Schizosaccharomyces pombe: one gene and its partners. The gene in region 3 interacts genetically with the main gene of each other region. Each region holds a gene or a part of one and is shown on either strand. Other genes may lie near its edges. The genes, in order: mak1, sec28, laf1 and oxr1.

Region 1 (10,729 bases), 540 kb from region 3:
GGCACAGCAACCTAAGCAAATAAACAAAAACGATTCGAAATAGATATCATAATAACTATATAAGTTTTTTAATATAAAATTCAATGTATTGTAATTTAGGTCTTAATCGAGTTTGAAATGTAGAACGAATAAAATAATGCTCATCTTTTGAATAAAAAAGGGAGGAAAAAAATGGTAAAGATTGATTAATGAAAGTGTATGATATGAATAAATAGTACCGTATCCGATTGTTCTCGAATATGTGTGAATTATCTGACGACAGTGTTTTAAAACTTCATTTCAAGTCCTTTTTTAGTTAAACGGAATGCTCTTCCACAAGTAGTCATAAACGAATCAACCAGTCCGGCTCCTATGGCGTCGCAAAGTCGAAACTTCCAACCAAAAAATGCTTCGTTCTTCTTTTTGCAAGCTACCGAAACATTGCGATTATATAGTGACGATTCAATTACTTCGCGGTACGGCCTCTTTTTTAAATAATTTGACAAGTCGTTTCTGCTGTTACGCAAAATATGAGTAAAAATGCCAAGGTTGGGTAATGAGATTCCGTAAGAGTCAGTGCCAGCAAGAATAAGAAAGCCCATACTAATCAGCAGTCGTCGTTCCTCCCAATTAAATTTCAACTCCTCGGATGTGTAGGAAGGTAGTGGATTTTCAATCAATAGTTTATGCAACTTAAAGATTAGCGTATAAATATGTTCCTGATCTTTGAACTTGCACAAATAGTATGTAAATAATTTATCAAACTCAGGTCGCAAAATTAAGCAAGACTCACCACAGAACTTGTCAGATCTATTTAGGTAAAGACGACGGATGTCTCCTGTACGTATAGATTGTTCTAACTCTTCAGCAACACTGGTATAGTTTGATTGAAATAAGCCTATCAACTGTGTTTCCACAATCATTCGCGGACACTGTGCAACTAAAACATTCGTTTGCTGGCGCATTTGAATGTCACGAAACATTTCCTCAACTAAAACTTCTATAGAGTTTCGTATCGTTTTGTTTCTTAATACAATCAATGGAGGAACATTGTACGAAATGATGTTTAATGGTGATTGACCAGTACACATAGATGCTTTAGAGTGGTTTTTTTCAATTGCTAAAGAAGTCTTTCTCCTTTTGCTAAACAGTCTGTCTATTTTAGTCTGTCCATTCTTCTTTTTATTTATTTTTAATAAAGCAGGCATTGCCAAGGTAGGTAAGGGAAGTAACTTACTTTACAGAAATTTCGTTAGTCGAGTTTTCATCACCTTCAACATTTAACGCAGTGATTTTTTAATTGCCAGCTACGCAGTTTAATAACTATTTTAACGATACGAAAAACTGCAGTGAGTTTTCCTTGCGACTTATACAGTAGTACAGGAAAATAAGTAGCAACTCGTTAAAGATATTCTAAATTTGGGGTTACAATGTAACCTATTAGTAAAATAGTTTATAGTTGGGCTAAGGAACGAGGTTTAGTGGTGGCTTCATTATAATCTTTTTAATGGTTCATAACAGTGGGAGTCTATTTAAATTAATAAAAGGGTGGTTATCGGCAATTATCAATACACGGATTGAACTAAAATCCTAACATATGGCATACAGTGAGTGTTGCACAACTGTAGTGTCAGCAATACTACACTACGCTATGATACATTACGTTGCGTATCACTATATGTCATATGTTGGAATACTAGCTAAGATCCGTTTATTGATAATCACGGGTAACTATCCGTCTATATACATAGATACCCGTTGATAACAACTATTTAGAAATATTATAAATAGCGTTACAACTGAACCTCGTTCCTCAGTTCAGTTATGAGCTATATTAGTGATAGGTAACATTATAACCCAGTTAATACAATACCTATACTCAGTTGCTACTTATACAACCTGTGTATTGTAATATAATAGACCACAAGGAAAACTCACCGCAGTTCTACGTATCCTTAAATCAGATACCAAACTGCGTAGCTTACATGTAGCTAGTGTAGTATTGCTGACATGTAAAATAGTAATACTATATAACGTAGTATAAGTATTGATGCATTATCTAATCGGTTGTAGGCAAAGCCAGTAATTGAACTAAATATACTTTGTACGACGAAAGGTATTGATACCAACCAAGAACTTGTTTTTTCTTTCTGGACTGGCTTATAGCATTCCCCTTGGAATTAGAATAAAAATCCTGTCTACACAGTGAACAAATATATGTAGTGATGCATAGTGAAGTGTAGCATAATTTACGCTTATGGTAAGGGAAAAAATTTGCTCCAGCAGTGACTTGAACACTGGGCCTCTTGCTTACTAGGCAAGCGCTCTACCACTGAGCTACAAGAGCTAATTACGAATTACCTAAAGTTTGCATTTAACAATGAGAATGTATCCTCGAATTGATTATTTGACTGCTTCCTATACTTTAATTTGGTTTGTATTTCAAAACTGATTGATTAGCACACAATACAATTTTTTTTTTAACTTGCCAATAAAATACACATTACATTAAACAAGGGGAATATGTGATATTTAATATTATTATACTGGTTCTGGGCGCTGGAAATATAAATGCATTAAAAAGTTAATAAAATAAAATATGAGATGCTTAGATAATTATTATTTTGGAAAATATTCAAAATAAGAAGTTGTCAATTTAAATAAATATAGGCACTAAATAAGCTTTTGATCAAAACAAAGAAAAAATATAAAGTAAAAATAAAAGCATTAAAACAGTGAGATCCTTTCTAAAAATACAAGCAAAAGTGAGTGAAGATTAAATATCAAATCATTTGTGTAACTTTGATTGGTTCGTATAATTAAGTATGCCAGATATGATTAAGGACAAGTGTTGCAAAGTAATAGGTTTGGCAAGGTAAGAATCAAAACCACTATCTTTGCAGCTTAAAACAACATGAGGTAAAGCATTCGCACTAAGTGCAACTATAGGAACTTTAGGGTAATCGTTTTCCAATTCGTATTTACGAATTTCATTACATGCCTGGTAACCATCCATAACAGGCATTTGTAAATCCATTAGAATAAGAGAGTAAAAATTAGGCTTTTCACGTTTCCATTCTTCAACACATTGCAAACCGTCCATGGTGACCTTGAATTTGACACCAATTCTTTCAAGGTAACGGCTTATAACCTTAATATTGATAATGTTGTCTTCCGCCAACAACACGCTAAAGCCAGACTTTGCCAGATTATATCGGAGTGTTTCAGCATCAGCCTTCTGCTCCATTGCAGCCTTTCGAGTCATATCATTAAGTGCACCGATTTTCCCCTTTTCCTCAGAATCAGAATAAAATAATGGAAAAAACTTGGATGGTTTCACAAGTTTTAAAACGTAATGGATGCTTTCCGAATTACAATCCTCGCTATCTGAAAAAATCTTAGATAATGATTCTTTTTGTCGAGTGGAAGTCACCAAAATAAATTTTGTATCCTTGTATAGACTACAAAGTTGCAGTGATTTGACAAATAAAACATATGCTTCTATGTCCGGAAGATTTAATATAATATGGGTGACCTTGGATTGCATAGGATTCTCTAGCAATTCTTCAAAGGCTTCATAGGTATTTCCATACCTTACGATATCTTTAAATGAGCTTATATCGATAATTGATTGAAGCATGTTGCCAATCGCTTCACTACTGTATTTAGTGTGTGATACAACAACGGCTAAAGCACTTTTATCCAACTTGATCCCAGAAGGTTTGTTTCTATAGAGTCTCCAAAATAGAACTGTGTATGGATCAGCAGATGCGCCGCATCGACAAAATTCCGATTCAGAAGCGAAAGGATTCACATATTTGTTGGATTGAACATTTTTGTCCGATTCAAGTTTACGTCGGTTGCTTTCTCTTCCGGGATCTGCTTTATTTACGGCCAATTTTACAAAATTCGTCGCGCTTTTATCGTTTCCATCGTCTGCGCAATAATAGTCTTCTGTGCTTTGTTTGCTTTTTTCGTATGGACAAAAACAGACTGGACAACAACCATCTGGGGGTTCAAATTTTAGAGGAGTTTTATCCATTGTAAACGTTGCAGTCCACATAAAGCGCGTTCCCACGCCTCTTCTACTTTGACAGGACATACTACCATTATGTAGCTCAACAAGCTCTTTTGAAATAACTAATCCAAGACCTGAGCCACCATGTCTTGGTAATGTAGAACTCTCTACTTGAGAAAACGGTTTAAACATTTGTAATTGATCATCTCTGTTAAACCCTTGACCGGTATCAATGCATTCCCACTTTAAAACAACAGTATTGGTTGAGTAATCAATCTTTTCAACGGAACAACGAGTAAAAACTTCACCAACATTCGTAAATTTAATAGCATTTCCGATCACATTCAAAGCAACTTGCCTCATTCTCATATTATCCCCAAATACTATATCAGGAACATCAATGTCAACCGTGTAGTTCAATTCTATTCCCTTTGAAAAAGCGAGGGTACCTAGAGTTTCGTTTGCATCTTCCATCATAGCTCGTACAGAAAAGCGTTGGCTAGTTAGCTTCATCATTCCAGCTCTGACTTTACTAAGGTCCAAAATATCATTGATAACAGTCAAAAGAGACTTAGCTGATTGCTGAATAATACGTGCATAACTCAGCTGTTCGGCAGACATTTGAGTTTCCAACAAGAAGCTTACCATGCCTGTAATACCGATAAGAGGGGTTCGAATTTCATGAGACATATTGGAAAGATACTGCATTTTGCTCCGAACAATTCTTTGAGCTTCAATGTTAGATTCTTGGAGCTTTTCTTCCAACATTTTATGATCGTGAATATCAGTACAAGTTCCTAACCAGAGATTAGTAGACGTATCAGCAGAATTATTTACGCAAACAGATTTCACCAAATGCCATCTATAATGACCATCGGTAGATCTAAAACGTATCTCCGCCGCAAACGTTTTGGTACCATTACTTTCGTCTTGGTTATTAAACGTTCCCTCCAAAGATTCAGGCAATAAACATTTCTTGCGATCAGCGTGATATACAGCAGATAAAAACCCAAGTCCCAATGAAGATTCCAGTGAAAGACCTGAATAACTTAACCACTGCGCATTTGCATAAATAATTCCATTTTTACCATTTGCGGCAAAAACAATTTGAGGAGAAGCTTCAGCTAAAGACCTGTAGCTGTTTTCATTTGCGGCTATAGCTGATTGTTTTTGTAGTTCTCGTTCTGCCAACTTTTGATCATGGACATCCGTCATTGTTCCAAAAAAATGTAGCACAGATCCAGTGCAATCCCGTAAAGGAACCGCGCGACAGATAAAGTATCGATAAACATTATCAAACCTTTGCAAACGAATTTCATGATAAAAACCACTACCAGAGAATAATGAAGATTTCCAGTCATTTAAAAAGTTTGGCAGATCATCAGGATGAATTCGACTAAATTGTAGCTCTATTTGCTCATTCATATTTAAACCACAGTAAAGAAGAGTTTTTCTATTAACCCATGTGAGTTTTCCACTTCCCGGATCCGCAGTAAACACATGAACCGGTATAGAATCAATTATAACCTTTAGTAAGGGAAAAGGAGGCGCTTGACCACCACAATGCCCTTGCACATACTTGTGAGATTCAGAAGTGCAACAGGCATATGATTTTGATTTATCTAAAACAATTTCATCCTTCTTTAGAGTAATAGTTTCATTTGAATAATTTTCACCATCATTTAGCGAGAATCTCAAATTCTCGTTCACTTTAGAATTCTTTTTGCTAATTCGAGACTTCAATCTAGCTAGCAAACGATGCTTCTTTAAAGTAACCCATGATCGCTGGTTTTTTTTAAAAAATTCAGAAGGAACTGGTACAAACCTAGGCAATTTAGGTATGTTATTAAGAGAAGATCCTTTAGCATTGATATTGCAAAAGCTGCCTACGCACTCTCCTTCTTTATGAGGACAATCAGAGTTTTCGGAGCTCGCGCTCATACTCAACTCCTTGGTATTGTCAGTGCTAGACGTGTTAAATAATAGATGCCTTTGTGTAGGACAAGGAAGTAACGGAACAGATTGAGAATTTGAGTATGAAGAAAAAATAAAGGGTATCAAACGTTCTATGGAGGCTATTAAATTTTCCGGATAAGGAACTAAATTGGACTTGAAAGAAAGAATTGCAATTGGAGCTCTCCCACGGCTTGAAGTTTGATCCGAACAAGGAAACATCAGAGGAACATGTACAATACTGACAGCAGTTTCAGTAGGAAAACTGGTGAAGTCGTTCAAATGATCTTCTTGACGCCTGTTACCAGAAAAATTCATACCTTTACAATCATCATTAACAGCTGTTTCTGATACGGACTCTGAAGCAGACTTCTCTGTTGACGATTCAGTAGCGAAAGAAGATTCTTGCAAGCAATTTTGGAAGAATGGATTCCTATTAGGATCTGTTTGAATGGAGGGACTAGCAACTGGAGATCTTGACCAAGGAGAAAGTAAATTTTGTTCATACTCATCATAAATGTTTGAAGGTTCTTCCGAAAAAGACGAACTTTGTGCTTTTGAAATGTCACTTTGGGAATACGGTTTACGATTCTGACTGAAATGTGAAACAAATGCTCTCTTTTTCTGTGGATAAAGTCCATTTAACTGAGCTGCAGAAGCACTAATTTCAACCTGCTTTTTCAATTCATTAAGTTTTTCATCATGAAAAACTTTCCATGAATTCTTAATGCTGCGAATATCATCAACATTAGGTATAGAACTAAAGTAATCATTATCATGAACCTTGGTGTTTTTAACAATGTGCTGTTGTTTACGTGTATATACAAGCAATGTCGCACGCTCCAAGACTGTTTGTACAACTTTGCTATCAATAAGCAAATCCCCTTCATGTTTAAGAGAAGCTGGATCTTTGTATATAATACCCTTTGAACCATCCGAAGCAACTACGGTAACATAAGAACTGCTAGCAAGGTTGTCATTAACACTTATAGGGTTACTATACGGATCATAATGGGAACCGCCATCGTAATAACATCTGAGTTGCCAAGGAGTATTGTATATGTCAGAAAGGTCACGCGGTTCTACAACAGATATTTGAGTGGAAAAAAACTGCTGAGCGAAAAAGTCAATAATGTTTTTCCAGAAATTCATCAAACCGGTTTTAAAGACCAATAAGCAAGCCATTTCATACACATTTCCAATGGTACGGTTACGCTTCTCCTGTAACTGCTTAAATAAGTTAGCGGATGAATCTGTTTCAAATGGTTGCTCATCAGTTAGTGAGTGCGAAGCAGAAGTATTATCGTTGTTCAAAGCATTTCCACAAGAAGAAACGGATGGAGCAGGTGAATGGCATAATGAATTTAGTGATTCCCTAGATTTTTGAGGAGAATAGCAATCTGAACTCATTGAGGAGGTTTTAAATAACTCATTGGGACGTTTGGATGTCATCAATCGATTTGGATTTACTCGGGGAAAATTAATAAGTCGCTCATCCTCTAGTGAAGGAGAAGATACATTATTGAAAGAAAATGAATTTCGATGCTGCCTATTTAAACTGGTGGGAGATTCAAGTATCGGAGAATGAACAGAGCCAACAGAAGAGTTTTGAGAATTAGTAAACGATCCTACAATTTTTGATGATTTTTGCAGCTGGTGGTCCATGGCCTTATTCAAACGTTAGTAATTTAAATTAATTAAGTAACAAGAGATATCACATTTTATTTCATATTTAAAAAAGGAGAATCCAAGTATTGAAATCACTTACCTCTTTCAACTTTTCCAAGTGAGAATTAGAACCAACGTTATTGTTGATTTGATCGTCAGGTGGCCTCATTTTTTTAGACTAAATTTACAGGCCAGTATAGATACTAAATAAAACAAAGTTTCCAACTGTAATTACCAAAAAGAAAGTGCTATCTTATAAAGATCGTTTCAAATAAAAAACTGATGTATTTGAGTTATTTGACCACGGCAACCAGCAATGGAAATTATAAGCGTACCATTTAAAACGCTTTTTTCCTAGCGACTTTACAGCACTGAAGATTGGTAAAAAGTGTTCGAAATAGGGAAATGAAACAACTCAACAAGTTGTGTTAGCAAAATGTAAATGGATATTGAAGATCGCGTAAATGTTGTTTAGCGAAGATTGGTGGCTAGTAAATATGATCGTTCTGTTAGAAACAAGTCACTACACTATACTGTGCTGCGTTAGTTCAACTTTTCATAATATTCATGATTCTCCGTATTTCCATCCTTAGTGTAAATCTTCTATACTAGTAGTTTTATAACAATGCATTATGTTGATACATTCAAACCTTCTTTCCTGACTTCAGTTATAAGCCATATATGTGTGGTTATGTTAGTGTATTCAATATCATAATTATATTGATACAACATTTTACCATCTACGATAAACATCCTACATAAGATTATATACATCGCAAGTAACACTTAAACTACAGTTCGTTGTAGCTTAAAAAAGGTAATGATTGCTTAGCCAATAGTCAATCCTTGCTAAAGAATAGTAGTCTCAGATTACTAAATTCGCTGATTATATTATAACGGTAAATTTTTATTGAATTGTTATTACATCATCATTTGAGATGTTACACATTTGCTGAATAAGCATATAAACAATGCATTGCTGCGTAGCTGTTTTCTTTTATATTATAATGCTGCAGCAATATAAAAGAAGCTGCATAAATAATTAGTCAGAAAATTAGTTTATTCAGAAAGCAGCTAGACGAGATGCAATATTTCATGATTAAATGTGAGCTCAACAACTCTAAAGAAATTAATTAAACATATATAATCCTTCGCAAAGCAGAGTAAAAAAGTGTAGCTTTTAAGTGCCCCCTTGAATTTTCTTAATTACTGTTCCATTTTGAGGTCGCTCTTTGGAAATTAAAGCTTTAATCAATTTTCGTTGAACATTTACTAGAGCAGCCAGTGAGGAATCCAAAGTACTCAGTTTTTGTAAAAAATTGTTTCTCTCGTTATTTATCGAAAAATTTTTATCTTTCTGTTCTATTGTAAAACCCGGTTTGTCATTTAATGAGTTGTTTGCAGTAAGATTTGAATTTACTCTGTGGTTTTTAACAAGCTCAACATACCGCTCCTGAGCATCGCCCAATGCAGTCATAAGGTCTGACAATTGCTGTTTAGTGGATGATAAAACACCATCTCGTTGTTTAAGTTCAAGTTGTGCTTCAGCATACAAACGATTGATAGAATCAGAATCAAAGTTATGTCTGTGTATCGAAGCAACTGTGCTTTCGTCTCTGTCATTATTACTTTCCTGAATTGTTCTATTTCCTTGAATGATTTCTGCTTCCTTTAAGTTGGATTTTTCGGCGAGATTTGACAGTGTGAGGGAATGCTCGCCTGACCATACGTTAGAATGACAATTATTATAGTCTAAGTTATTGTTAATTCTGGCTCCACAAACGCAACGAGACAAAGCATCTTTATAAATATACAGCTGTCTTTTCATTTCATCAACAGAAAGTTCTGAGTTTACTACCGCTTTGTTTTTGATGCTCTTTGCACGATGTCCAAACCTAAGAGTAGATAAGGTCTCTGTTGCATTGTATGAATCTGGTGAACAGTTAATAATTAGAGTGGTCCGAGAATTTCCACCAAGAGACTCTTTTAAAATACGCGTTAACTTGGAATCTCTATAAGGAACATGTGATAATTTGCTGTCTGTGAGAGAATTAATAACCATTCCAAGAGTTGAAAGAGAACGGTTTATTTTCTTTGCTTCTTCTAAGGTTTGCCCGACTGCTCCACTTTTTCCTACGCTTTCGGAACCTGCCAAGTCAACTAAAAACAACCGGCCTCGTCGAGTTTCGCCGGACTCAGTGTCCGTTTGGACAACTTCGAGTACAAAAATAGAATGAGACCGTGAACTTTGCGCATTCATCGACGTACTTGCAACGGCACGTGACCCCATACCTTTATTTAAAATATCCAATGCCTCCGTTTCACTTGATACGTAAATCGTTTTTAAACCTTGAACATAAACTCCCTGAAGTTTATCTTCATGAACCGTCAGTCTGTCATTTTTTTCTGTAAATCATGGTTAATTTTGCTGAAATTAAATACGAACGTCGCAAAATTTCTACGGCATTTGAAGGCTTACCGGAAAGTAGATCATGAATTTTTTCCATGTAGATTTCCATGTATGATACCTTCACTTCGTATTCAGTAGTAGATGGTGAATCGCGGATTTTGTCAAAAATACGCCTGAGCATTCTTGGAGTCATTCCTTCTTTTTCGAAATTATTTTCAATACCCTAAAGATTGTTAGAAAAGTGTGCCAGGTGAAATTGTGAATATACCATCATGGTGTATGTTTTGCCGGATCCTGTCTGTCCATAGGCTAGTACTGTTCCGTTATAACCCAAGAATAAGTCTATAATATATTAGTACATATTTAATGAAATTCAGAACAACTTGAATGTGATTCGAACAATGTATTAAAATGGCAATTCGTTTCAAATGAAGCGTCAAAACGAGCGCATATAAAAAAAGGCTATGCTATAATTTCATACAAGCTGTTGCTGACAACGATGAAATTAATCCGTTCAACGCCGTGTAAAGTTTTACTATCATTCACATACCATCGACTGTCGATTCAATTGAATACGAAAATATATCATTCTGAGTGCTAGAAGGATGAAAAACACGATCGAATACAAAGTTTCCTGAGTAATCACTAGTCTTTTAATCATGTCAGCCGAATTCTAAAGTAAAGATCAATTGTTGAAACCT
Region 2 (6,115 bases), on a different chromosome or scaffold from region 3:
TGCCCGATACTTCTCATTTTCCGGAAGTAAAGAGACATTACTATTATCCATAGCTTCAAGAAGAAGACATAGAGAGGAGATGATATTTTCAAAAATCATCACTCGATACTGCTTTCTAACTACTTGACTAAAACCGGGGCTATACAATAATCTCATCTGCTTCATAATGGTCGTTTTCCCACTATCACCGGCGCCTAAGAGCAAAACTTTAATGTCATTTCCACCTGAAGTAGAATTTCCTTTTACGCGTACTCCAGAACTTTCCACATTTTGTGGTTTTCCACGCAGGACGATATTAAGCCAGTTTTCAAGGACTGGAACTCGAGCGTTTTGACTTCCAGTTGTAGAGCTGTTTGAGGTTTGCGTATCTGAAAGCTTCTTTTGAATGACTTCTCCTCCTGATGTATCAGCGTATTTACTCGACATGCATCCCATGGTGAAAAGGCAGCTACAGATTCCAAATCCCCACAAGGAGATAATTCAAAGTCGAGACAAAGAAAGTTAATCTCCGCAATTTTCTGTAAAAACAGCAGAAAAGGTGATAAATAAGGATTTTTGGATTAAAAAAGAAATAATAGATGTCGTTAAATCTCAAATATTTGTGAAGTGGACCCAACTATAAGCAAAAAACCCAATTGCCAGATAATTCCAAGAGATCCAAAAGAATACTATTATATAGTAAAAAGAAACTATTATTTAAACAATTTGGTTAAAAAAACCAGGAGGATTCTTTGAGAAAAATCGTGTAATGACACAAACAAACTTTGGTATTCGTAAACAGTCAAATTTATTATACTATCACGGTTGCGATAAGGTATTAGATGAAATTAAATCAAGAACTGTTTAATTTTTGAATGAGAAATCAGTGGATCAACTCCTTTAATGTAAACAAAGCAACCCAAAAAACAAAATTGCGTACAATTTACAAAGAAACCAGGGTTTTAATGAGCAGCAATGGTCTCCAACTATAAAGGGAGTTACAAATACCTGTTCTCCTTTAATACTTCCTAAATGGATACTAAGATTGCTAAGCCGTCAAAGAAGTTGAGATGTTGAAAAAGGTAACTACAATGCGTGTACACTATCAGGTGGTAAGCGAGCTATTAGAATTCGTAAGAATGAAACAATTACAGAAACAAAGGCTTTTTACTTATTGGAAAAGTGAAATCGTTATACTTTCACTGGTACGTGCTTATAGTGTCTTGTCGATTTTAACAGAATATTTTTTTGTATGTCTAGTGATCCAACGGACCTGGCAAATGTCAACAGTCCGAATAAAAGAAGTTTCTACAACAAAGACCTTATCTAAAAAGTTAAGTTGATAGTACTTCGGTGTATTTACATCTGCATTTTTCTCTAAGAGCAACATCCTCACAATATGTGCCCGCTTTCAATGCTATAGTGCGAATTTGGAAGAATGGGGAGGATGAAAATGTACAAATATTTGACAGTATGAACTTCAACATCATTTATTAATAGGATTCAGAATGAACAGTAGCAAGTATCTCTTTTACTCTGCGTACCGATTCAAATCTTAATACAACAAATGCGTGTATGTAGTATGTGTTAATACTACACAACAATCCAACTATTTTGAGCGAAGTAACGCTAAATTTACAAAGAGAGTTACAAACTGATACGTTCATACATGCTTATTTAAGTGTTCGATGTCGCAAAAATGAACGTTTGCTAGTTAAAGAGTTTTGATACATGTTGGGGTTAAGCAAATGTTGGCATATATAGTTGTAATCTGTCATGGTGCCACTGCCGTTTGAGCAAGTTCATCTTCGATTCTTAAAGTCTTATCGTTTAATATCGGTTTTCTTGCTTTTTCCAAATTCCAAACACCTGTGTATTTCAAAACATCTTTCTTTTCTATTTGTAAAGGCAAACTTGTTGCTTGTCATTTTGTGGCACTGCAGGTTTTGAGTAATTTTGGACAAGAACCACCTATTCTAGATTTTTAAAAACAAATATATAGGTGGATAGTCATAATAGTTCATTTTTAATTAATGAATGTATTTGATAAATAAAAGTAAACGGTTTAAAGACGCTCCTGTTGTGACGGCGTTCATTTAAATGTTTCATTTCGAGATATATTCGGGTGCGTTTTCTTGTTATTATGTCTACATGAGTCTTCTTCTGCATGCGGTTAAGTATTTCTAATTAATTAGTTTAATACCTTTACTTCTGGTAAACTTGAAATTTATCGAGGCAATACTGGATTGACTTGCTTTGCCAGACAGATCAACGAGCCATTACTTGAGTGAAGCAATAGTCAATGAATAAATACTAAAAATGCAAACATTTGAAGTTTATTAATGGATTGAAGATTCTAAACAATATTATTATTGGATTAAGCCGTACTCAAAAATTGAGTTGAAAAAGTATCAAATTCTTGCGCCTTTTCATTTAAATGATCGTTCAACTTCAGTGTAGAAGAATTTGTAAAAGATGAAAGTATATTCTTGGCTTGAGAAGGAGCATCAGGGCCTAAATCCGTGATTGCAGTAGTCATATTTGATAGTGCCTCCTCGTAATTTGGTTGAGAATCGAGGGCAGTTTTCAGCGAGCTCAAAGCCTCTTCAGGTCTCAACAAGCATATGTCTGCACACGCCATACCAGTTAAAGTCATTGGATTGCTATCAGTTCCGTTTAACTCTTCAAAAACATAAAATGCATCATTATAGGATTCGACGCCTCCACTAACTATTTTAATCCAAGATTGTGCCAGCTGTAGTACAATTTCTTCATCAGCCCAATCCAAAGCCTGTTTCAATGTCTGTTCAGCAGCTTCAATTTTGTGCTCTCGTAAATGAATGTATACTTGAAGCGCCACCGCCTCCAAGTTCTCTACTGACTTCTTTAATAAATCCATTGCATCATCAAAAGAACCATTTTTAATTTGAAAAATAGCTCCTAATGTTTGTACCACACTGTCTGAATTGCCATGCTGGTCAATAATTAACTCCATGTTCCCCTCCCCAGCCAGCGCCAGAATAGCAGCTGATCCAGGCGTTTTTTGAGTTAAAATACTTTGGATTGATTCTAAACTTTCACCTAAAGCTAATTTTGCCCTTGCCATATAAATTTCGGTCAATTCAAGACCTTTTTCAGACATGGATGTCGTGTCAATTTCAAATAACTTTGTATAGTTTCCACTATAAAAGTATTGACGAACAAAATACAGTTCTATCAAATATTAGTTGTTATTTAATTCCCAACTCATCTCTTACCATTAGATAAACTAGCCTCCCATGAAAACATGTTAAAAGTTTTAATTATGTTGGGCGATGTGTGGAGTAGAGAGTATGTGGGTTAATGGTGTTTGTACATGAGTAACCCTACAACAAAATGTAAAGCAAACGAACTTTCCATCAAGACTTGTAATTTTTCTAATTGCTCCGAAGCCTAATATAATATATTTCGCAGTCAGCAAGTAAAATGTTCGATAATTGAGATCCTTTTTCTACAGGTCGTTGTTGTATTCAAGAATCACCAGCAAACTACATTTTGGTCCACTGGCTTTTATATACAATGCAACAAATCTAGTGTTATAAATCAATACATGTTAACAAAGCGAACATTATAATTTATTAGAATAACAAATGGCGAGCTTTAAAAAAAAAGAAAAAAAAAAATTGTAAAACCTAGACTACCTTTGAAAGTTTGAGTTTAACTCAAGGTAACTAATCAATATATATATATATATATACTTCCTTTATTCCTCACATATTGTACTAAACCCAAAAAAAAAAAGGTTGTGGTCTTTTTTATGGCAGTATCAAAGTACAGAGTAAAACACTCTACAACTCCAATGTCTATCTAAATTCTAAAAATTAAATCCAAATCAAAAAGGCCAAAACAAACTTAAAAGTTGGAAGGGTATAAAACAGAGTCTGCATAAGCAAACGTATCTTTGATGGAGCGAGGAGAAACGAATCGAGACAGAATCATTCCGCTACCAGCTTTATCGTTAGTACCACTGGCACGAGCACCACCAAAAGGTTGTTCACCAACAACAGCACCAGTACACTTATCATTGATATAGAAGTTACCAGCGGCATTACGGAGACGGTCAGTCAACTTTCTGACAACAACACGGTCCTGAGCGAAGATGGATCCGGTTAAACCATAAGGAGTGGTAGTATCGATGAGATCGCAAACAGCGTCTAAGTTGTCATCCTCATATACATAAACAGACAGTACGGGGCCGAACAATTCGTTAACGAATATATCATGTTTAGGGTTTTTAGAAAGTAAAACGGTAGGTTCAACAAAGAAACCTTCGGAATCATCAGCTTTACCGCCAGCCAAAACTTCAATTTCAGAATCGGAAGCAGCACTCTCAAGAACCTTCTTCAGTTTGTTAAAGCTTGCTTGATGGATAACAGGGCCCACAAAATTAGCAAAATCAGTTAAAGGAGCACCGACCTTAAGAGACTTGACCTGTTTGGTAAGCTCATCACGGAAACCATTTTCCCAAGCATACTTAGAAACGTAAAGACGAGAAAGGGCAGAGCACTTTTGGCCTTGATATTCGAAAGCAGCACGAACAGCATTAACAACGGCACTCTTAATTTCAGCGGAAGAATGTACAAGATGAAAGTTCTTACCACCAGTCTCACCGACGATTTTGGGGTAAGTGCGGTATTTTCCGTTGGCAACATTCTCGCCAATTGTTCCCCAAAGGCTACGAAAGACGGCTGTGCTACCAGTAAAATGAAGACCAGCAAACTCAGGGTGGTTGAAACAAACCTTGGAGACTTCAACAGCGTCACCAGGGATAAATTGAAGTGCTCCAGCGGGAAGACCAGCTTCACGGAAGATTTGGTAAACAATGTAGCTAGAAAGGACTGCATGGTCAGAAGGCTTCATTAAAACGACGTTGCCCATGAGAAGGGGGGCAGCAGCCAAGTTACCAGCAATAGCTGTAAAGTTGAAAGGAGTAATGGCATAAACGAAACCTTCCAAAGGACGATATTCCATACGGTTCCAGACACCAGGAGTGTTTTCGGGAGGTTGGCTGGCATATAATTCACTAGCATACTTGGTATTGAAGCGAAGGAAGTCAATGATCTCCATTCCAGCGTCAATTTCAGCTTGCCAGATGTTCTTACCCTGGCCAATCATTGTAGCAGCCATGAGCTTGTAACGGTACTTGGTGCTTATCAAATGAGCAGCCTTCAAGAAAATGGCAGAACGGTCAGCAAAAGGTAAGGATTCCCAGACCTTCTTTCCACGAAGTGCTGCCTCAATGGCATCTTCAACGTGCTTGGCACCAGCACGGTGATAGCGAGCAACGACCTTTTTGTGCTCAAAAGGACAACGCTGCTCACCAATGGTATTCGTTTCAACTTCCTTACCATCAATGATGACAGGGATAGTGACAGGTAATTCAGCCTCTAACTCCTTGTAGGCCTTGACGATTCCCTCTCTGTCAGCACTATTGGGACCATAGTGTTTAGGAGGCTCGTTCTTAATGGCAGGTAATTTGAACTCAGCAAATTGTGACATTTTACTTAAAAATGAAATAAATCTAATAAGTATTAATATCGCATAAATAAAACGTAGAAAACCTAAAGATAGAAAGCAATGAAAAGACGCGTAGGGGTCTCACTCAAAACAGTTATTACATAGATATAAATACTTACTAGTTTCAATCCAAACGTTTAAAGAGCGTTAGAAATCGTTTCCTTTCTAATCGCCTGTATTGAGGTATTGGTGTTCTGGAAATATCCTGACAGAGATTTGCCTCTTATATATATACTCCTATATATTCTTATAAACAGGTAGTGTCGATGTGATCGCACTCCGTGGAATTTGCAATTTTGCTTAAAAAATCAGCTAAAATATTGATTATGAGACTTATAGAAGTGAACCCTGAACTTGTTGGTCTTTGGTCGTATTATTTGATTTATTTCAAAGGGAAGTGTTTTAACTGCTTTTAATCACACTCGGACATCTTCACATTATCTTACCGAACTATTAAATAGATAGCCTGAAGGCTTGGAATTGTATTTCGCTTAAATTGTAATCTAGCGCAAATCTTTATGATTGTTAATATTAAACTCTTGCTTCGTACTATTGAATCAGCTAGCTCTTTGCAGGGATT
Region 3 (6,643 bases):
GATTACAATTCTAGTATGTATCGTCGTCGTACGTTTCGTTTTTGGGTCCATCCTGATAATGTGATGGAAGTAAAAACATACATTATGAGGCATCTTCCTGTTCTTTATTACTCTGGAAAGCAAGGATTTGACAAAGACCAAAATGGTGTATCTGGAATTTTGGATCCTATATCAACTTGCTTGTATTTAGATAATTCCAACTTTGATTTATATTCTCAAAATTTGGAACGATCAGAACAGGCTTATTCTTTGCGACTTCATTGGTATGGAAAGTTAACTCCCAAAACCGATATTATCGTTGAACGAATGGTACGTCAAGGAAGTACTCTTTCACATAGTGAAGACCGGTTCACTATCCGCGAGAAGAAGGTTAGAGAGCTTCTAAGTGGGAGATATGATTTTAGGAAGGTTGAGGATGATCACTCGACAACTGCTTCTGATCAGAAGAAGAAACTAATTGAAGATGTTGAACAGCTAATCGTTGACAATCACTTGCAGCCTGTTCTCCGTTCTGTTTACACTCGTACCGCATTTCAGATTCCAGGCGATGATGAGGTTCGTATCAATCTTGACTCAGACTGGGTTATGATTCGTGAAGACTCTTTGGACATCGAACGTCCTTGTAGAGACCCCGAAGATTGGCATCGTCACGATATTGACGATGCTGATTTCCCATATAAGCACTTAAGAAAAGGAGAGTATTCTCGTTTCCCTTATAGTGTCCTAGAAATCCGTGAATGTGTTAGATATGATGAAGACGAACCTCTTTGGATCTCTGAATTGCGTAATTCTCATTTAATTTCTGAAATTGATGGTTTTTCGAAATATGAGCATGGTGTTGCAATTCTTTTTGAAAAATACGTATCTCTTTTACCAATGTGGGTATTTTCAATGGATCAAGATATTCGAAAAGATCTTCAAGAGGTGTACTCCCATCCCGAGGGATCTGCGGGCTCTCGAAATGTTTACATTAAACGTAGGAATCAAAGAGTTTTAAAGCAGAATATGACACCCGAACCTAGTCAACCCTCACCTTTGGTCAATCGTTTAAAGGCCAATGAAATGCACCCTGTTTCAGAAGAGCCCGAAGATAATAGAGAGGTGTATCGAAATGAGCACGGAGACCATTTCAACTTCAGAAGCATACCTGGTTTGCTGAAGCCATCTACTTATGGATCGTTTAAGCATCATGGTAAAACGTTTGTTACTCCACCCCATATCAAGAAACCAGAGATTCCGCTTAGAGTCAGTGGTCCGATTAAGGTTGAGGCCAAAGTTTGGCTTGCAAATGAGCGTACGTTTTTGAAGTGGCTTCATGTCGTGGTCTTGCTTGGTTCTCTTGCTCTTGCATTATATAATAGTGCTGGAGAAAGACTTGGTCAGGCTTTTGGAGTAGTTTATACTCTTTTAGCTATTTTCATTGGGTTCTATGCTTGGAAGCTTCATGCCAAGCGTTCTCAAATGATCAAGTCCCGCAGTCCTGCGCCAATGACTGATTATTGGGGCCCATTGATTGTAGGAACAGCTTTGGCTATTTCTCTTATTGTCAACATGTCATTTGCACTTAAGGATGCTGTTTATCAAAATCTCATTGAACCTGATCGTTTGCTTGTTAAATTGTTTACTTGAGAAGTTTCGATATCATTCAACATGGGATTTTTCCAACTTTTATTACACGTTGGATTTACTATTTAAATGCAATAAATTTTTAGAAAGCTAGAAGATAACATTTCAGTAAATTCTTGATTTAGATGCAATGTGAAGTTGAAAATTGCAATAAGATTGAAAACTTCATTTAGAGCAGGGCTCTTGGGTTATTATATTGGTTAATTGGTTTGGGGATATATGTTATCGGTTTTTACTAAAATTTGCACGGGTATTGCAAGTTTTTACGTGTCGATTTACTTTTTTTGCAAGGATTAAGAAAAGCTGGATTTGACCATATATTCATTACATTACAACACTGGGGTATATTAATACTGGGATATTAACGTCGGACATCCATTATAATTTCTATGGTTTAATTAATTTAATAGCAAAGAATAAATAATCAATTATTAATTATCCGCTAAGCATTGGATCTAATTGAGTAGAGTAAAATAACTAAAAACCCCTAAAATCCGTCTGATTAGGGAACTGATGGTTATCGGTTATTAGGTATAAAAATAACAATATCTACTGTAAATAGGAGAAACGAACGTTTTTAAAAGAGAGTTATTTCACATCTGTATTAATGAATTTTTTAATACAAATGCTGACTACATGATGCTTTTCATCTTTGGGAGGATAAAAAAACAAAAAGTGAACGAAGGAAGAAAAGAGGGACTTGAGGTATATACTACTGGTTATTGGCCAGATAAAACGATGGACACCGACTTCAAGACGAAATATCCAAAAAAAAAAAGAAAGGTTTTACCGAGATGCAAATGATTGTAAACAAAAAATTCAAAACACCTAGAAAAAAATAAATAATCCAACGAAAATGAAATCCGTGGTTTTTCGAAATTTTTAAATTTGATTATTTCCCTAACCCGCCAAAAGAGAAAAAGAGAGAAAAAATCTATTTTTTGAAAGGCCAGCAGGATTATGAACGATTCGCGAATTAGTCGTCAAAGAAACCTTCATCGTGAAAAGCTTTCCAAAGACGACTAGCTTTGTTCACATCGACACGACTAGCACGTTGAGCATCTGTTTTCCTAAAGCTTAGGCCTTGAGTACGGCGATTGTGCCACTCAGCAAAGATTCTACGCTTATTGTCAAGATAAACGAGACAAGGCAATCGAAGTGTTGCAGCCAACTGTAGCTCAGCAGGATGTAAAAGGTGTCTATTCTCATCATTGGAAAGATCAAGGGGAGGGCCCTTCCATTCGCTACGAAGGGGGCGAGGATGAGAACGTTTATCCAAAACAGACATATCAGGAGAATAATCAGGCAATAGCTCATATGGTGTATTGGCGACATCAATGGCCTGGGTGTTGGAGGAAAACTCCCTACTGGACTGCTTGAAACGCGTATTATGTTGAGGCATTCCAGGATGAACATCTCCTTTTGAATGCGGAGTTGAATGTCCCGAGTCCGGCGTATCAGGAGAACCTCTTTTACGGGTATTAGAAGCGTGCACATCCAGAAACGAGCTGGGTTGCCTTCTTGGACGTTTGGCAGCTGGAGTCGAAAACCTGTATGCTGGAGAATGACGCTGAAGCCATTGCCTTTCTCGGCGAAGCCAAATTTTAGGTGAATCTCGGTACAGATCGTAAACCTTGGAATGCAGTTGCGCAACAGGTGTTGCTGTCGGCTTTGGTTCCACAATAGAATCTTTTGGAGATTCAGGTATTGTAGAACACTTAGGTACATCAACAGTACTTGCAACTTTGTCATTTGGAATGGGAGAAGGCGGCGGAGATATTAGGTACTGATATGCCTTAATGGCTGCCGCACATGTGTCCTTCTCCACATTTCTAGGGATCGAATAAACAAGCGTTTGACTCGATTTCATCTTACCTTTTTCCTTGATAAAGTCGAGCAAGCTGTCGATAACCTTTTCAATTAAATCAAGTAGACTCTGAAATTACTCCAAATTGTTGTTTTTATGTACAATTCTTTTATGCAAAAGTCAAAAGAGCGACCGACTTTAGATGAAATTTACAGCCAACAGCAATTCCAAGTTTCACCTTATGCCAAACGATTGTTGGTGTTAGTAAAATCCCAAGGATGGATGGAACACATGTCGAAACCGGTAGGTAGGGTTAGGTTGTCAAAAAAACATGTTACTTGAATGGTAAATACAAAATGGAAAATAAATGCCATTTTGAAGAAAAAAATTATTTGCCATATTAATCAAGTGGGTTTCCCAAGTTTTTCTTTGCTCACAAGGGTTTCTGTTTCCAGTATTATGCGAAAAATCAATTCCAAAAAGGAAATACATCCCATCAAATATAATTAAGCCAAGCGAAATACTGATGGATAGGGGATTAAAAGTACCACATTAGATGTATGGGTATGAACTTTCTGTAGTGTTGGTTGATTTCTATTCTTGCTCATTTCCCAATGGAGTTCATATCGGTTCTTAAAGAGTTAGAGCTCGGCTAACTATGTTTATCAACAAAATAGGGAGTTTTGATGCAGCAACATTGGATTATTAGACTGCTTCTAATGAAACAATTCCTCCTTTGGTTTCCAGTGTAATGTCGCAATCCAAATCAAGGTTAAATATACTCATTACTATATTCTTAATATTTACAGCTTTGCCTTTCCAGCTGCTAGTTCCTAATGCACTCATATACGACATAATTGAAAATGCCAATTGTTTGATTTTATAAATGAAGAGAAATACATTTCTGTGTCCATTAGAGTAATTTCTCAATTGAAATATATCACTATTTTACTTGTTTATTTATTCATTCTTTATCGTTCAGATGTTCATTAATTAAAAAGCTAACTTTTTTATTGATGATCATTGTTTACAGTATGAGAAAAAAAAGTAAATTTGTAATAAATACTTTCGCAATATATCTTACAATAAGAGAAATGTACAAATAAATGATTTATAAATAAATTATACACATGTCTTTTTTACTCTTCTTTATAGGAAGCAGTTTCAGAGTACTTAAGAAACCTACTCACTTATTCTCTTCCATATACAGTACTTGTATATTTTCACTAGTTCACACATTTACTTGTCAGCAGTAAATTAATCAATTCACTCGTTTTTTTGTGCTGTTAAAATTTTGTGAACTATTAATATATATTTTATCTAATGATTTACAAAGTCTCTACCTTTAGCTTCCTATTTCTTTGTTGAATAAAACATATATCTGGCATGAGGCGACAGTTGTCGTTTCATGAATCTACAAAGAGATCATTAAAAAAGAAGAAAATAAGAAAGATTGAAAAACCTTCTCTAGTTTCAAAAACTTCACGCGACAAAAATGCTTCGATAACCGATATTCATGAAGAAGATATTGAAGCCTTTTCTGATGAAGAAAACAAAATTGTTCATCTCAATAATTTAAAAGAAGATCGATTTCAACGTAAGAAAATTTAAAAAGGTTCAAAAATTAACGGTGCGCATAGTTTGGTTTGAAAAATACATTCCTCAAAAAGCGGCTGATCTTGCCGTGCATAAAAGCAAAATAAGTGCAATTAAGCAATGGATGTTAACGGATTCTTTAGAAAGTGTATGTTAAATCTCCCCTAATTCTCTCAAAAATATTTCTTGGCTAACAAAATCATAGAGGTTACTTTTGATCTGTGGTCCTTCTGGTTGTGGAAAGAGTACCGCAGTTCAGGTCTTGGCTAAAGAATTAGGTTATAGTCTCATAGAATGGCTAAACCCTATGAACCTAAAAGAGCCTTCAAACCAAGAATCAGATACACTTTCGCTCACGGAAAAGTTTAGTAGATTTATGTCTTTATGCGAAACTTATCCAGAGTTAGAGCTTATGGATTCAAATAATATTCAAAAGCGTGGAAAAAATGCACAAGGAAAGAAAAAGTTTATTTTTTTGGATGAAATTCCTCACCTTTCTAAATTCAATGGCTCTCTTGATGCTTTTCGTAATGTCATTCGCACCGCATTGACATCGCGAGGCGCCTTTTCCATCATCATGGTTCTTACAGAAATACAGTTAAACAACTTGGAAGGTATTAATAGTCAAGATCGAAATTCCTTTAATAGCGTGCAGATAATGGGTAATGATCTACTTCAGGATCCACGTGTAACAGTTTTACAGTTTAATCCTATTGCGCCGACATACATGAAAAAATGCCTTGGCTCTATTCTACGTAAAGAGGGTGTTCCCAAGTCTCCAAAGTTGTTGAGTTTGGTGGAGAATATTTGTTCTGCCAGCGAAGGGGATTTGAGGAGTGCGATAAATTCCTTACAATTATCGATCTCTCAATCTTTTGAAAAGAAAGGAACAAAAAATATTAGAGAAGTAAAAGAGGGGAAAGGAAAGGGGAATGATTTTAGCTTAGAAGCTGCGCAGGTTCTTGAACGATTGTCAAAAAGCGATTCGGAGGCCTACGCAAGATTTAAAAATTATAAAAGTGCGTATATCCCAAAATCCGATAAAAATGAGAATTCGTTTTTCAAGAAGGACGTTGGCCTTGGAATGATGCATGCCATTGGAAAAGTTGTATGGAACAAACGGGAAGGAGATGATGAAGTGCTAAAGGCTTCATCTCAGCAAACGGGCAATTCGGAACGAATAAAGGGAGTAAAAGTCAGTAAAAGCCAAGAAAACAAGAATTGTATTTCATTAAAAAGTGACCAGCGAGAACGAATGCTTAATGTTGATCAATGCTTTACTTCCAAAAGACGAAGCTTGGTGGATATCGAATCGACAATCAACCAGAGTGGATTAAGCGGATCTGTTTTTCGTTACGGACTTTTTGAAAATTACGTTGATTCTTGCGTTACAACGGATGAGGCTTTTAATGTATGTGATTTGCTGAGCATATCTGACTGTTTGTCCCATGATTTTCCGTACTCCTACACGGGAGATGAAATATCTACGTGGTTTTCAGTTCAAGGTACATTATTTTATCTACCGTCTCCCGTTCCACGAAAGTGGAGACAACTTCGATTCCAACAGTGGAACAACGAAGGTATTGTAAGAGGCATTTTTGATGATTATATGGT
Region 4 (6,463 bases), 1.6 Mb from region 3:
TATGCGTGTAATTAACAGAATAGTGCTGGATTTTAACAACGCGCCCTGTAGACCAAAATTTTATTTTTCTTCTCTATCGTATTATTATTTGCTAGAAAATAATAGCCAGCTAAATTATGAGTGACCCTTTTTTTTTGAGTAGACAGAAACCACTTTCATAACACTGTTTTAAGTCAGAGTTCAGGATTTGTAAGGGAACTATTATTCTGACCCTTCTTCACTCTCGCTTTCACTTTCAGCAGTATTCAACCAGTCGACAAATTGTTTGCCACCGGCATCACGAAGCGCAGCCAATTCTCCTTCGCTAGAGCGGGGATCAGAATACCATTCTTGAATGGCATTCTCTTCAGCAATTTCTAATTGGTAGAAATATCCCAAAAGTTGTAAAAAGTGCCGAGTCATACTCAAACGGACACAGTACTTCTGCAGCGTTAATACGTTGTCAACTTGCTCTTCATGGCTAAATGTCAGTTTTGCAAGCAATGGACCCCAACGTGTCATTACTTTTGCTAGTGCCTCCTTGGGGGATACATCTAAGTGCATGATACGCCTTAAAAGAGCAAGAACAATTGCGGATCGCACCTCGTGATAGTTGGCATTCATGGCCATTCGGAGGGTATTGAGTTCAAGAGCAGCAATATCAATTTGGTGGTTTTCTTCAAAGGCACGTTCAAGACTCTGCTGAGCTTCCTTGTTGAAATCTCCTTCATCGAAATCCTCTGAGTTAATTGTATTGGCAGAATCGCGTCTAGCTGAAAAGGGAATAAATTCCATATCTTCTTCAGAAGACGAACTTGTCTCTGAAGATTCTGAATCAGATAAATGTAACTCATTTGTACTTTCAATAAGCCCTGAAGCCTCCATAAACTCTCCCTCATCATCAGAATCCTCTTCGGCATGATATTCTTGACCACGTCCACCAATCCCTACCAAAGATGGATCGTTCAAAGTTCCTTGAGAGTGACTCTCGAAAGTTGTAAGACGCTTATTTTTTTCAATTATTGTATTATCCCCAATAACAACGCCTGCAGCTACTATAGCACCATCTTCAATTGAACAATTATTTCCAATTTTTACAGAATTGGCAAGAATGGCTTTGCCAATTCGACAATTATCTCCAATGACAACATCTTCCCAAAGGAAAGCACTGTCTATACTACAATTGCTGCCTATGGTACAATTCCTACCAATGATAGTATTCGCAACCACAGACGCATCACCGACTTTGGTATAGGCACCGATCAAAGTTCGTGCCTTAATAATGCAAGAACGAGCAAGAACAACGTCTTCTTCCTTATAAATCTGATGTCTTTGATAACTAAAAGTTTGGTTAAGAAGATTGCTATCGGGAACAAAAGGATAGACCCATCGAGAAAGAACATCTTTGCTAATAGCATCATAAGTTTGAAGACTACGAACACGAGCTGCATAATTTTCTTTAGCAACATGGCAATGAATCTTTTTTCCTAAAAGATCAGAGGTTAAAACACCATATACGAAGTCTTTTCGAATGTCTTGGTAATCAAAGTTTTCAGTAAAAAGGGCAGGTACATCATTGGAGCAAATGTCAATTTGACAGTCAATCAAATCATTTCGAACCTCCAACTCTTCATGCTCATTAAAGATTTCGGGATCCATAGAAACATAATGTTTTCCCCTTTCGTTAGCTTGATAATGCACGCATTGGCTGGTCTTTTTATCTATCACGAAAACAGAACTCTCTGTACGGGCGCGTGTACGATGAAATGGACTTGCTTCTCGTACAACCATTGTCATAATAGCATTTTTATCATCTTCACGGCGCTTCCGATGTTCTTTCAAAACTTCGTTTAGAGGCACATTGGATACCACATCGCCTGATACGAGTATGAAATCGGAGGTAATTAGCTGTTTTGAATCGAGCTCTCTTAAAGCATCACCAACCGACAGAGATTCTCTTGACACAATCGTGTTTACACTAAAGGGGGAAGAGGGAAGATTCCACTTTGACTTTCTGTGGGTTATATTGTGTTAGTTATATCGTATCAGAAATTCGAATTTAAGACCTCAATTTAGCACATACTCTATATATTCTCGAATTTGTCCTGCATGGGCACAGCAAAATACATAAACTTCTTGCACCCCGGCCAATGCCAAAAACTCAAAAGTGTACTCTATTAAAGGGGTATTTGCTAAAGGAAGAAGACACTAATAATATTAGTACTTAAAGTGTACACTGGTAATTGCATACGCGAGGTTTATCTAATGTAAGAGGGCGAAACCGATAATTATAAGAATCCGACAAAACAATCGCTAAAAATTAGTAACAAACACTTTTTGAATCCCAAAAACATTACCTTGCAGAGCGTGTTTTGGCTTTTCTAGCTTGCCATTCAGCCCTTTGGATGGAGGCATTTCGACAATGTAGAGGGATTAGACATATTTCTCAATATCATTTAAGCCCAAACAGTCATTTAAGGATGCCGTGCTCCACTGCCTTATAACTTAAAGATTATTCTAAACAATTCATCAACTAGAGACTAAAAAGGAATTTATAAAGACGTTAATAATCAAAGAGTAATTAAATTTAGGATATTAAATTTGCATAGCTCATTTCTTTTATAGTTTATTGGCGAAAGAAAGTGGTTTTATTTAAGTAACCACAAAAATTCCACATAATAAACAGAAGATATAAACGGTGATTTATCCTGTTAAGTTGGTAAATTTTGTCAATTTGTTTTCTACAATTGGGTAGTGGTTGCAAACATTTTACTAATCTTATGGTAGTTTATCGAGATTTGAATACAGGTTTCAAGTGTTTACACGGTAATCAAAAAGAAACATAATAAATAAAACTTCATAATAATTATTATTACTGATATAAAGTGGATGGTAGAAATCGATTCGTCAATTAGGGACGATACGAATTGTTGATGAAAAGCAACCACGTGAATAAATATACTAAGTGTAGCATTAAAAGTTATGAATAGAAAAAGAGAAAATTAATAAATAATAGACAATTGGGGAGAAGATATTGGGGATGCTCTTCATTTGATTCGTTCACTCAATGCATAAGGCGTAAAGAAATTAATAGCAAGGATATTCATGCTTGATCAATTAACAAACGTAATCTTCCGGAATTGAGAAGAAGTATTAAAAATTAGCTGATGATAGAAAGCTATACATCACAAATGGGAGGGAAGAGTCCTACGGCTCGAATTTCTGGTAAACTCGATATTCATTGATTGAACATGCAAATCAACGAGTTAACTTGAATTAAGAATAATAATCAATGCATAGAGTCAGCATAAAATTGTCTTTGGTTGAATAAATTAGTCATAAAGAAAGCACGGTAAAATATTAATCTTGATATAAATATAAAACTTGGGCTGATGCACATTTCCGAGTCCATCTTTTATTTTCTTTTTTCTTTTCATTCGTTAGTTGATATTACTCCAATACCCAGAGCTCGATGTCCACGATTTGGATTCGTTGGTCAGGACAGCCACGATAGCTCAAAGGATTGTTTTCGAATGCAGGAGTACGACTAGAGTAAGCGTACTCTAGAGAGCCATCAAGCCAAAGGCTGTATCTTCCATTACCCCCACCAAATGCCAAAAAGCTTTTGGTGCAATATGCAACAAAATTGGAATTTCCTACGAAAGGGTAATGTACATACTTTTTGGGAGGAAAATATTTCCACAAGAAGGTTTCCTCGGAACCAAAGTAATGAGGTGCAGGAATTAAATAATCAGGGATAAAAACTCCAAAAACATCGCCGTCTGTATCGCGCACAGCTAAAATGCAAGCCCCTTTAGGATGGCCGCTTCGAGCTTTTTCCTTTTCGCAGGCTAAGTACATTGTTTGAAGAGATGCGCCGTCATGTTGCAACGAATAGATTCGTTTCCAAGTTTCAGCAGAAGCATATCTTGCTGGCAAGTTCTCAACGATGTGACTGGCCAATTCATCTGTTATTAAGCCGTCTTTAACACTATACTGTCTTGTAAAGTTAAACATTTCAATTGATACAAAATACTTGCTAAAATTTTGTACTCTTATGGTGTGTGTAGTTAGAAAGATTAAGGTGATCCACTAGCCTTATGTAATAAGTAAACAAATAAATAATTGTGAATACAATAACAAACACTGAAATAAACAACAGTAAGTGTATTCTTTAATTTTCCAAAGAAGAAGTTTTTCTTAATAAAGGTATTCTTATTGATCCTTTTTTATTGTTTTTTTTGAGAAATCGAGTAAATAATTTTTTTGGCGTAATGTGTGATTGTTAAGGTGGAGCAGCAGCCTTGGTATTAGCAATTAAAACATTCGTTCAAATTCTATCATTCAGTAACAACAAAAAATAATTATAGTTGACGAGTCAATAGAAACACTATGAACCTGACTTTTACTCTATATTAATAATCAAATATAGAATAAATACATAGTGTTCCATTACTTGCTATCATACTATGCTATTGAACTTTTATTTATATCTTAAATAAAATCTTTTAGAACTTTTAAGAACAAGTATGTACTTATGTTTGTATAAATATTAAGAACTCATTACAACAAATGAGTCCAATGCAAAAGCTGGCGTTGAGCCAGTAATCTAATTGCCGTCTTTAACTTATCATGAACATTATTGTATTTTTCACATACTATTCTATAAATGAGAATATTACAAAAACAATGAGTTATTATGCTCCTGAGTTGTAATGTACTTAGTTTGCTAATTATCTTCGTTCAATATCTTTGCCGCTTTAGAGAATTCCTGGAGCAAACAGTCCAAAGATTCTCTTCTCTTCTCTTTATGTTTTTCATATTCTAGGTATTCATAATCCTCTAGCTCTTTTGTAGCCTTCAAAGTAACAGTAGACGAACTTGCTTTTTTCTTAGCAAGCGACATTTCAATATGCTTTTTAAAGGATGATATATCAAAACATCGACTTCTTTTTTTCCTCTTCAGCTTCATCAGTTTGTATTGGGAGTAAGCCGATCGATCATCTGACGTCGAAGGATAACTGCAATCAGAAATATCTCGGGTGCTTCTTTGAGGATGTAACTTCAAAGGAATGAGTCCATGGTCTTTTATATCCTCGCTTAAATACATTTCTTGTTCTTTGCTCAAATCCATGATAAAACAACGACCTCGCTTCTCCTTTTCTAAATGTTCACCAATACGAAAAGTCGATCTGACTACCAACGCAAATAGCCTTCCTAAGATTGTATCAGTTGCTTCACTTTTTCAATTTCTCTTTCAAGTCTTTGGATTTCAGAAGTTTCACGCTGTAGAATATTCTCCCTAGCAGACACCTGATCGGTTTGTCGTTTTTCAAGTTGCTGCAATTGCTCTTTCTGTTCCAGTAAAACGTTTTCCAAATTCTCAATTCCTGACATATGTAAGTTGTATTTCTCAACCAGAGTCTCCAAATATTCACGGCCACCTTGCATAGGATATATATCTAGTAGTTCCTCAATACAAGCAACGTAGTCTGCAGGGTTTTCTGATGCCAACCTTTCACTCCAATCCTTCGGTAGAGATTTGAACTCAGCTGCAATTAGTTCTTCCTTCTGAGTATCGCGAATTAAATCAGTTATAGCATGAGTATGTAGCACCGCGTCTGTGAAACGTGCTGCGTTTGGGTTTTCCGGTTCCAAAAGTTTTTCTGATGTAGCAGCAATAGACTGTAAATAATTCAACAAATCAGACATTTATTTAATAAGTCATCAAAAACACTAATTCGACTCGTAATTAGTAAAAGGTATGTTTCAATTCACTTTACCAGAGTTGCCAAAAGTGTATGCAATCTCTGGGTGTGTGCAGGTGGTTTAACCAAAACGTAATAAACGTTTGGTATCTTTGATATAATGGAAATCACCTGTGCCTGTTTTTGAAATTCTGTTCTCGCTCAGCAAATTATTTTAACAAAGGTAAAGCATTGCGTTCATTCCTTGCTATTTTCCTTTATTTGCTACACCGAATCATTCTTACGTTTACGCTTTAGGCACACATTTCTTCAGCTCAGATTATCCATTAATAATTATATGTAAAACTTTTATAAAGGTTAATACACGCTAAAAATTTCGTAATCCTCAGTGCAGTTTTGATGAGTTTGCAATTGTTGGACTCTACTTCGCAATCGTGATCTAATCAAAATCTACAACTTTCTAAGTCTGCCAGATTTATAGAACTAAAGGTTTGAGAATTATCCTTCTCTTAGTTCTTTTATTCATATATACCATCTATTAAAAAGTTGCCTCTTTGGAGGCTATTTGAGGTTTTTCTGACTGAACGTTTCGTCTGTTTTTCATATTCTATCAGCCAAGTTTATTCTATTTAAATATAGATTTAAAAACTTTAATTATCTTAAATAGAAGAGCAGTATATTGGGTATAACTAACAGCTTGAAGCTCTGACATCTTAAAGTGTTGTATTAATAAAAATGCTAGAACGATGTCCCTGGAAATTAATCAGCTCGCCAAG

The links.
Region 1: mutations in laf1 (region 3) and mak1 together harm fitness more than expected from each alone (negative genetic interaction), as found in Schizosaccharomyces pombe (one large-scale study listed by BioGRID).
Region 2: mutations in laf1 (region 3) and sec28 together harm fitness more than expected from each alone (negative genetic interaction), as found in Schizosaccharomyces pombe (one large-scale study listed by BioGRID).
Region 4: mutations in laf1 (region 3) and oxr1 together harm fitness more than expected from each alone (negative genetic interaction), as found in Schizosaccharomyces pombe (one large-scale study listed by BioGRID).

The regions. Positions count from the first base shown.
Region 1 is NC_003424.3:4,707,028-4,717,756, reverse strand, and holds mak1 (phosphorelay sensor kinase Mak1), read right to left. Parts: upstream 8,049-10,729; 5' UTR 7,788-8,048; coding exon 7,719-7,787; exon of another isoform or gene 7,619-7,718; coding exon 2,768-7,618; 3' UTR 2,496-2,767; downstream 1-2,495. Other genes in the region: SPOM_SPAC1834.10C (uncharacterized protein), read left to right, coding at 1-43; mug51 (variant protein kinase 19 family protein), read right to left, coding at 267-1,187; kinesin-like protein Klp3, read right to left, coding at 8,799-10,024, 10,098-10,251, 10,297-10,370, 10,579-10,678. UniProt on the Schizosaccharomyces pombe protein: Involved in the control of the SAPK-dependent transcriptional response to peroxide stress. Also has a role in G2/M regulation.
Region 2 is NC_003423.3:2,324,658-2,330,772, reverse strand, and holds sec28 (coatomer epsilon subunit protein), read right to left. Parts: upstream 3,300-6,115; 5' UTR 3,268-3,299; coding exon 3,237-3,267; exon of another isoform or gene 3,193-3,236; coding exon 2,357-3,192; 3' UTR 2,272-2,356; downstream 1-2,271. Other genes in the region: gpa1 (G-protein alpha subunit), read right to left, coding at 1-435; put2 (delta-1-pyrroline-5-carboxylate dehydrogenase), read right to left, coding at 3,871-5,517. UniProt on the Schizosaccharomyces pombe protein: The coatomer is a cytosolic protein complex that binds to dilysine motifs and reversibly associates with Golgi non-clathrin-coated vesicles, which further mediate biosynthetic protein transport from the ER, via the Golgi up to the trans Golgi network.
Region 3 is NC_003424.3:5,248,539-5,255,181, forward strand, and holds laf1 (clr6 L-associated factor 1 Laf1), read right to left. Parts: upstream 3,697-6,643; 5' UTR 3,497-3,696; coding exon 2,603-3,496; 3' UTR 1,982-2,602; downstream 1-1,981. Other genes in the region: vtc2 (polyphosphate synthetase), read left to right, coding at 1-1,629; RFC-like checkpoint protein Rad17, read left to right, coding at 4,820-5,030, 5,074-5,177, 5,235-6,643. UniProt on the Schizosaccharomyces pombe protein: Component of the RPD3C(L) histone deacetylase complex (HDAC) responsible for the deacetylation of lysine residues on the N-terminal part of the core histones (H2A, H2B, H3 and H4).
Region 4 is NC_003424.3:3,669,104-3,675,566, forward strand, and holds oxr1 (V-type ATPase inhibitor and disassembly protein in response to oxidative stress Oxr1), read right to left. Parts: upstream 4,267-6,463; 5' UTR 3,997-4,266; coding exon 3,430-3,996; 3' UTR 2,823-3,429; downstream 1-2,822. Other genes in the region: translation initiation factor eIF2B epsilon subunit tif225, read right to left, coding at 202-1,993, 2,063-2,187, 2,231-2,292, 2,337-2,394; DASH complex subunit Spc34, read right to left, coding at 5,197-5,691; ABC family Fe transporter Atm1, read left to right, coding at 6,423-6,463. UniProt on the Schizosaccharomyces pombe protein: May be involved in protection from oxidative damage. Has a role in meiosis.